Linked DNA regions of Macaca fascicularis. The main gene of each other region encodes a partner of the protein of the gene in region 2 in a complex. Links are inferred from orthologs where the notes say so. Each region holds a gene or a part of one and is shown on either strand. Other genes may lie near its edges.

Evidence for each region.
Region 1: the proteins of CCNT1 (region 2) and CDK9 are in contact, whole or in part, in a crystal structure (PDB 3BLH), measured with the Homo sapiens proteins. The link is inferred for Macaca fascicularis from reciprocal best matches to the Homo sapiens genes CCNT1 and CDK9. Residues at the interface, in NP_001231.2 of Homo sapiens: Arg5, Lys6, Arg11, Trp12, Arg26, Ile72, Gln73, Phe78, Phe89, Leu90, Lys93, Val94, Pro98, Lys99, Lys100, Leu101, Val134, Glu137, Ile139, Leu141, Gln142, Thr143, Gly145, Phe146, Glu147, Leu148, Thr149; in NP_001252.1 of Homo sapiens: Val8, Glu9, Cys10, Pro11, Phe12, Cys13, Lys56, Glu57, Gly58, Phe59, Ile61, Leu64, Ile67, Lys68, Gln71, Leu72, Leu81, Ile82, Glu83, Ile84, Arg86, Ile99.

Annotation. Positions count from the first base shown.
Region 1 is NC_088389.1:16,210,802-16,215,367, forward strand, and holds the start of CDK9 (cyclin-dependent kinase 9), read right to left. Parts: upstream 3,078-4,566; 5' UTR 2,963-3,077; coding exon 2,871-2,962; intron 2,410-2,870; coding exon 2,328-2,409; intron 1,591-2,327; coding exon 1,500-1,590; intron 1,162-1,499; coding exon 995-1,161; intron 895-994; coding exon 723-894; intron 565-722; coding exon 416-564; intron 1-415. UniProt on the Homo sapiens protein: Protein kinase involved in the regulation of transcription.
Region 2 is NC_088385.1:55,529,469-55,533,714, reverse strand, and holds the start of CCNT1 (cyclin-T1), read left to right. Parts: upstream 1-1,178; 5' UTR 1,179-1,236; coding exon 1,237-1,397; intron 1,398-4,246. UniProt on the Homo sapiens protein: Regulatory subunit of the cyclin-dependent kinase pair (CDK9/cyclin-T1) complex, also called positive transcription elongation factor B (P-TEFb), which facilitates the transition from abortive to productive elongation by phosphorylating the CTD (C-terminal domain) of the large subunit of RNA polymerase II (RNA Pol II).

The DNA.
Region 1 (4,566 bases), on a different chromosome or scaffold from region 2:
CTGGGAGGGAGGGGGCGTTGACAGAGGATGAAGTCCGGCCAGGAGGTACGTGGCTTATCCCTTTGTTAAGGCCTAAAAGGACTAAAATACCTGCTCCACTTCGAGACTCCCAGACTACTACTGCAGAGAGAACTCGACCCCTCCCAAGAGAAGCAGTGCCCGCCACAGATTGGCACATACCACATGCCAGGCCCAACCCTGATATACGTCCCATTTCTGGTTCACAGAAGAGAAACCCAGCGCTGACTCAGTTGTTCTGCCCAAGGCCACAGAATGGCTGATGGAACCAAGACTGGCGCATAGCCTGTGTGGCTCTCAAGGGCAGGCCCTGTCACCAAACCAGCCTCCCTTCCAGAGAGGAGCGCTCCCTCCATTCCACTCCCCACTCCTCTGCCGGGGGACCGGGACCCCGTACCTCAGGGGTGATGGAGCCGCAGAGCTGACTGATGAGGGCGAGTTGGTGCTGCTCCGTGTTGCCCTGCATGATGGGGCTGCGGGTCCACATCTCTGCCATGATGCACCCAGCACCCCACAGGTCAATGGGGGGGCCGTAGTCCCGCTCCCCTGGGAAGAAGAGCGCACCAGGAGGGCCCCTTGAGCCCGGAGGCCTCCTGAGACTCAATGCCCCAGGGCCGGCAGCTCAAGAAGCCCTGGCAGTGGGGGGGCGGGGGCCAGGTAGATGCCTGGCCCTCACCCCCCTCGGCCCGCTCGGGAGTCCTCACCGAGCAACAGCTCCGGGGGCCGGTACCAGAGTGTCACCACACGGTTGGTGTAGCGGTTGGGCTGGCTGTTCTTAGCCAGGCTGAAGGCCCGGGCCAGCCCAAAGTCTGCCAGCTTCAGGACCCCGTCACGAGTGATAAGCACGTTAGCAGCCTTCATGTCCCTATGCAGGATCTGCAAGAAGGGCAAGAGTGGCTCCTTCAGTGATATCCACCCGGGAGTGGGAGCCAAGGCCAGCCCAAGCCTGGGTCCTCCTCCCAGCTCTCGCCCCCACCTTGTTCCTGTGGATATAGTAGAGGCCGTTAAGGAGCATCTGCATCACCCTCTTGATCTCAGACAGCGTGAACTTGACCAAAACATTGCTCAACAGCCCAGCAAGGTCATGCTCGCAGAAGTCGAACACCAGGTATATACTGCCCTTGCAGCGGTTATAGGGTGAAGCTGAGGCAGGAATACAAGGAAGAAAAAGTCAAGAAAGCCACACCCAACACACTTTCCCACAACCAGTTTCTTTCTTCCTGCTCCAACCCATGGGCACCCAAGCCCTCCAGAGCATCTGTCTGTTCCTTCCTTCACTGGTCAAATATTTTCTGAGTGCCTCTTCTGGGCCAGGGCAGACCCCGAGGAAGCACCAGCTACGATGAAAGAGGACCAGAGAAAGCAGTCACCATGGGTCCATCTGAGTTAAGAGGAGGCAGTTTAGGTGGGTCTAGTTCCAACTTTACGAACAAAACCTTAGGCTACAAGTGTCATCTCCTCATAAGATCCAAACAACTTACCTTTGGTTCGACAAATCTCAATCAAGTTGACCACATTCTCATGTTTTAGAAGTTGAAGGATCTTGATCTCCCGCAAGGCGGTAATGGGGAACTGGGTGGGAGAGAGGGGAAAGTGGTCAAGAGTGAGCGCAGTACAGAGCCCAGCCCTGGGGTCTATATTGAGAGGCAAGTTGGGAGACAGAGCAAGATCATGGGCTCTGAAACCAGCTGTCTCAGAAGCTCTGCCTGTAAAATGGATATAGTAGGAGCATGCACACTTCAAGGAGATAATTTGAGACAACAAACTGAAACAGCAATACTTTGCTATTAGCCACTAAATGCTCGGCGGTTTCAGCCTTCAAACTTCAGCTCTATGGCTGTTTCGTTGGCAACAAACATGACGATTCAAAAATGTCCTCGCTAAAGCACATCAGGAAAAGGAAGGTTTATGGGACGTTGTACTTGAGCTAAGATGGGGTGGAGGGACCGCTCCTTTTAAACACATTAAATAACTGAGTATTAGTCACTTTTCAAAAATTTGCATGCATATGTATCTTTCTTTAACATTAAGCAAAATTTAACACTAAAAAAAGGTGTTTAAAGGCTTCCTAACTTCGTGAACTAAAGTGCACACGATGCATGCATCAACTCCCCCTCCCGGTCTCACCCATAACTGCCTAAGAATGAAGCATTTAGTTTTAGGGTGGAGGCCAAATTCCCTGGAAATTTCTGAACTACTACGAAAAAAATTAAATCTCAACCTGAGACTCCTAGAAGCAGCAGGGTGGAAAACCGACCCGGGGTCCTGGGCAGTTAGACGGCTGGCCCGCACGCCCGATCCGTACTCACCCCCTCCTTCTCGTTTTCCATCAGCACCTTCTTCAGAGCCACCTTCTGGCCGGTCTTGCGGTGCCTGGCCTTAAACACCTCCCTGCAGGCGGAAAGGGAGACCCGAGAGCTCATCAGGCGATTTCCGCAGGGCCCGCCCCTCCCCCACTACCGGAGGAGGGGCAGCAGCAAAAAGATTCCCGGGCGGGGCTGGGGTAAGTACCCAGGGCACGCGGCTACCCCGCCACCCGGCACCCTGTCTCGTTCGGAGCTTCTGCTTCCTTCTCTCAGTCCCTTCTCCTCACTTGGGCGTCTCTTGGAGAGATCCCGTTCCCCTCACGGGCGCCTCTCTGCAGCCCCTCCCCGCCCCCACCACCGGCCTCAGGCTCCTCCCCACCAGCCGGCTCCTTCAGGCCGGGGCGGGGTGCGGCGCGGCCTAAAGACCAGTGGGCAAGCCCGGGGACAGACGGTTTCTCTACCAACTCGGGCGGGGCCCGGGGCATCCCGACGTCCGCCCTAGGGGTGCAGGCCCACGGCTCCCGGCCCCGAGGGGCCCAGCCTTACCCGAAGGTGCCTTGGCCGATCTTGGCGAGCTTCTCGTATTTGGAAACTTCATCACAAAAGGGGCACTCCACCGAGTCGTACTGCTTTGCCATGGCCGCCTCCAACGCGCCGCCGCCGCCCCCAGCCGCTGCTGCTGCCGCTCCCGCTCCGGGTCCCGCCGCCGCCGCGCTCCAGGCCCCTCCGCGGCCGCGCCACTTCCGCCTCCACGGCCACTTCCGGCCTCGCGGCGCCGACCCCGCCTCTTCCGCCCGCCGCCCGCCGCCAGGCCCCCTGGGACTTGTAGTTCCCGAGAGGCCAGGGGGAGCCGGAGCTGCAGAGGCGCCTCCGCCGCCGCCGCTGCCCCCGCCTCCGCCGCCGCCACTACTGGCGGCGGCCCCGATCGGGGGCGCGGGGAGCCGGGGCGCCGGAGCTGGGGCTCGGGGTGGCGCGTCCCGCTGCATGGGCCCGGGCCGCCGCTGCTGCCGAAGCTGCTGCCGCTCTGGCGCCCGATCCGGGGCCAGCCGCAGTGCCCTGCTCCTCCTCCTCCGACGGCGCCGCCTCCGCCGGGCTGCGCGGGGCGGCGGGCGGGGGGGCAGCCCCCGAGCCGCGGCCTGGGGGCTCCCTGGCCGGGCCCGGGCCCGGGGCGGCCGGGCGAGGGGGCGAGACGGGAAGAGCCGACTAGGAGACGGCCCGAGAGCCCGGGAGGGGGCGCGTTATAAAGGGGGAGGTGCCCGGCCTCGCCTTCCCCTCCTCCTCCGCCCGCCCCCGCCCTCCTCCCTCCCACCCTCCGCGGCCGCACCTGCCGCCGCCGCCACCGCCCGCCCGCCCGCCCGCTCGCTGTCCGCCGGCCGCCCTCGGCGCGTCACCGCCCGCGGCCCCTCCTCCGCCTTCGGAGGTGGGGCCCCGCGCTCGGCACCTGGCTGCGGGCGCCCAGCCGCGTGCCTCAGTTTACCCCCACATGCCGGCTGCCGCGGAGAGCCCCTTCCTCCCCGGCTCGGAGTGCCCCCCCAAGAGGCGAAGGCGGGAGGCGCGGAGGGAGCGTCCTCCGGCCCTGGGAGGAGAAAACGGCCCCCGCCTCCGCCTCCCCCGGTCCCCGCCACCCTCCGTTGACATGGCAACCGACGGCCGCCAGGGGGCGCGGCGGCACTGGAGGCGACGAGCAAGCAACGCCCGGGCCTTCTATCGCTGGAGCCTGGCTCTCCAGGAGGCAGGGATGGGACCCGCAGGACTCGCGCCTTCGCCGAGTCGCGCCAGAGCTGATCAGGCCCCGGGTCAATAATCGCAAAAAACAGCTACCATTTTCTCAGCACTCTTTGTGTGCTCAGGAAGTGCTGGGCGTTCCCGCCGAATCCTGAATCAACAGCCCCATAGTCAGGATCACTAACCCATTTTGCAGAAGAGGACATTGAGGCTCAGAGGTGAGGTCATTTGCCCAAGGTCACACGGCGACAAAGCTGGGTGTCTGACTGTGAAGGGGATTCTCTTGACTCAGGCTATCCGTGGTTGGGCCAGGAGGAGAGCACTGGGGAGGCTTGCTGTCCTTATGCAGGCGGGAGCTCACCACTCACCCCCCCATCTCCCTCCCCCATCGCGCCCATCCCTTCGCCTGCATCTTCCTGGCTCCAGCGGCCCCCAGATTCCCCCTCCAGCTCTGCCCAAGGACAGCCTCCGGCAAAGCCGTCTTTTCTGCCTCCTTTGCCCCGCTTCAATCTGCCCC
Region 2 (4,246 bases):
CCGGCAAAGGAGCTGGGAAATATCTTGACAGAGGGCAGGAATTTGCTAATCTCTGCAAGTGAGGGGTAGTGGTGGAGGCTTTTCACACTCAAGGGGCAGTATTAGTTCACCCATTAGCAAACGTACTTAAAAATTACCTCTTGAGAGTTCCGCTGAATAAATGAAACAGTATATTTAAGTCAGTATTGTGCATGGGACATGTAAGCTCTTAATGTTATTAATTTCATTTTATTCCTTTAAGTTGGATCACTGCGGCGAAACGTGAGAATGTTTTCATGAATTTGGCTACACATTAAAGCGACCTCTCCAAATGGGTTGTCGTATTTTACATTGCTACCAACAATGTAACAGCCTTCTAGTTGCTTTATGTTCCCATATACGAAAGAGCCCCACCATTTGATTCTGTTTTTCAGTTTCTGACAACCTCACCTACTTTCTCTTTCAAGTTCATCTGCCCCATTTTTATTTTATTTATTTTTTAGACGGAGTCTCGCTTTGTCACCCAGGCTGGAGGCTGGGGTGCAGTGGCGCGATCTCGGCTCACTGCGACCTCCGTCTCCCGGGTTCAAGCGATTCTCCTGCCTCAGCTTCCCGAGTTCCTGGGACTACAGGCGCACGCCACCACGCCCGGCTAATTTTGTATTTTTAGTAGAGACCAGGGTTTCGCCATATTGACCAGGCTGGTCTCGAACTCCTGACCTCGTGATCCGCCTGCTTCGGGCTCCCAAAGTGCTGAGATTACCGACGTGAACCACCGCGCGCGGTCCATCTGCCCCATTTTATATCACCACTGCAGTCACAAACTAAGTTCTCCTAAGAACCACCAAGCGGCGCGTGGGCGGGCGCCTCATACCACTACAATTGCGACCTCACAACCTAACCCCGGGCGCCAACGCTCAATCCGGTTCTCGCGGGAAGATTCATGGTTTTTAAGCGAGAACTTCTAAGCCCACGCCACCTCCCAAGGGTCACGTGACGCGCCTGCGTCCTCGCCTCAAGGTTTTTTTCTCGTCGCATATTGGCTGTTAACTCGGCTACGGGGTGTCGCGAGGTGCATTCCGGAAGTAGGTCCTTTGACTTTTGCTTTCTTTACGGAAGAGAGTCACAACCCGGCGGTCGACGCTTAGCGGAAGTTCGTCAAGTCGCAGTTGCCCCCGCACAGCGGATGTGGGTCGCTACTTAGGTGACGCTGGGAAGTGTTTGCAGCCTCCGCCGCTGCCTTCTGGTTGAAGCATTATGGAGGGAGACAGGAAGAACAACAACAAACGGTGGTATTTCACTCGAGAACAGCTGGAAAATAGCCCATCCCGTCGATTTGGTGTGGACCCAGATAAAGAACTTTCTTATCGCCAGCAGGCGGCCAATCTGCTCCAGGACATGGGGCAGCGTCTTAACGTGTATCCTTGCGGCCTAGGCCTTCGGCCTTTGAGTTGGTCCCGCCATGCTCTGGCGTCTAGGTCTCAGGCTCTGGTGGGGGACGAAAGTGGGGAAGAAGGTGGGCAGAAGCTGGATGTCTAGTTGGGAGAGCCCACGATGGGGCGGGCTGAAACTCAGTTCGCGCTAGGGAAGCGAGGCGGAGTTGATTTCCCGCTCGCTCACCCGTGCCACCAACCTTGCTGGGCATTCGTATCCTTCCCGGCTTCGTGTTTTAACCAGCCCTTCCAACTCTCTCTTCATTGTGTTCTGATCGGCTCTGGTGACGTTAAGTTTCTCATTTTCCGCTGTGCCCTAGGGGTTTGGGTCTGGCAGAGGTTTCTCTGTTGAGGGCTGCTTCCGAAACCTAGTGTGTAAATTTCGAGAAATTCAGTACCTGAAAGTCTTATAAAGGGTGGTCTAGAATTAATGCCTCAGCCTTGGTCCAAAATCCATTCCTCATCTGCTAGCTGTTTAAGTGACCTGTCAAATTCTTGGTCGTCTTGTCTATAAAATGGGATGATACCTCTTGTGTTTGATTCTGTGTCCATCACAATGCTTTGCATTAAGATGCTCAATTAGTAGCTGCTGTTTTATAGAATTTCAGAGGAAAGATGTTAGTTTACGTTTGTAGGGGTTACCCACGAATCTAATGTTTTAAATCGTTTACAAAATACTGGGTCCTTAAGTTACTTAGAGTGGTGGTGTGTATTTCATTTTCTTTCTATTTCAAAAATGAGGTAACGGCCGGGTGCGGTGGCTCACACCTGTAATCTCTGCACTTCTGGGAGGCCGAGGCGGGTGGATCACCTGAGGTCAGGAGTTCGAGACCAGCCTGGCCAACATAATTAAACCCCTGTCTACTAAAAATACAAAAAATTACCCCGGCTTAGTGGCGGGCAGCTGTAATCCCAGCTAGTCAGGAGGCTGAGGCAGGAGAATCGCTTGAACCCGGGAGGCGGAGGTTGCAGTGAGCCGAGATCGCGCCACTACACTCCAGCTTGGGCAACAATAGTGAAACTCCGTCTCAGAAAAAAAAATTAAAAAAAAAATGAGGTATCCTCTCCCACATATTTTTGTTTGTCAGGAAATATACTTATTTTGTGGTGGAGAAAACTTGTATAGTTTTAAAGTTCTTTCCACTCTGTGTATGAAAATTTTCTTGGGTGCAGCTTCTATTTAAATGTGTGGCTGACAGTAATGTTTGTATCTTAAGGGTGTGTGCATCTCAAAATGGGTGTCTTTTTTATCGCCAGTTTGTTTCCTGCTGATGTCCAGATGTGTTTCCTAAGCATCCTATCAGTACGGAGTAAATCTTTTTGTTCGAAATTCTATTTCAGTGTATCCTTAAAACGCTTTCCTTTTTGTATGTGTGTTGTCATTAAGGTTGTCAGCCAGGCGCGGTGGCTCGCACCTGTAATACCAGCACTTTGGGAGGCCCAGGCGGGTCGATCACTTGAGGCCAGGACTTCAAGACCAGCCTGGCCAAAATGGTGAAACCCCGTCCCTACTAAAAATACAAAAATTAGCCATGTTTGGTGGCGAGTGCCTATAATCTCAGCTACTGGGGAAGCTGAGGCAGGAGAATCGCTCGAATTTGGGAGGCAGAGGTTTCAGTGAGCCAAGATGGTACCAGTGCACTCCAGCCTGGGCGACAGAGCGAGACTCTGCCCCCTCAAAAAAAGGCTGTTGTAATTTGGGACTGCATCATCTCTCTACCCCATATTGTCTACTGAAGTTTTTAGAAGTAAGGCATTTACAAGTTTTTTCTTCTTCTTCAGTTAATGAATTATCAGATCATTTCAGATGTTTCCTGTCCCGTGGATCACCACATGAGAAGGCTTGGTTGCCAGAGAGAAGTGGAACTGAAAATAATTTAGGCCGATTGTGGTGGCTCATGCCTGTAATCCCAGCACTTTGGGAGACTGAGGCGGGCGGATCACTTGAGGTCAGGAGTTCGACACCAGCCTGGCCAACAAGGTGAAACCCCATCTCTACTAAAAATACAAAAATTAGCCAGGCATGGTGGCCCAGCCGGTAGTCCCAGCTACTTGGGAGGCTGAGGCAGGAGAATTGCTTGATCCCAGGAGGTGAAGGTTTCAGCGAGCTGAGGTTGTGCCACTGCACTCAGCCTGGGTGACAGAACGAGACTCTGTCTGAAAAAAAAAAAAAGAAAGTAATTTAGTTGATGGAGTTTAGCAGGTGAGAGAGGTAGTGGAGACATACCTATGGGCCAGATCAGGGTGGGCGCTGTAAATCATATTAGATTATAGATATCTGCCACCATGCCTGGCTAATTTTTGTGTTTTTAGTCAAGGAGGGGTTTCGCCATGTTGCCCAAACTGGTCTCAAACTCCTGACCTCAGGTGATCCACCTGCCTCTGCCTCTACCCAAAGTCCTGGGATTACAGGTGTGAACCACCGTGCCCAGCCAGGCCTTATAAATTGGTTTTTTTTTTTTTTTTGGAGGTGGAGTTTTGTTCTTGTTGCCCAGGCTGGAGTGCAATGGTGTGATCTTGGCTCTCCGCAACCTCCGCCTCCCGTTTCAAGCGATTCTCCTGCCTCAACCTCCCGAGTAGCTGGGATTACAGGCATGCCCCACCACGCCCAGCTAATTTTCTATTTTTAGTAGAGACGGGGTTTCTCCGTGTTGGTCAGGCTGGTCTCGAACTCCTGACCTCAGGTGATCTGCACCCCCTTCGGCTTCCCAAAGTGTTGAGATTACAGGAGTGAGCCACCGCACCCGGCCGCCTTATATAGTTTTTTTAAAACTCTGTCTAGATCCATGCATCTTGATATGTTTGTTTATTCATTCAGTACATTTATATTAAAT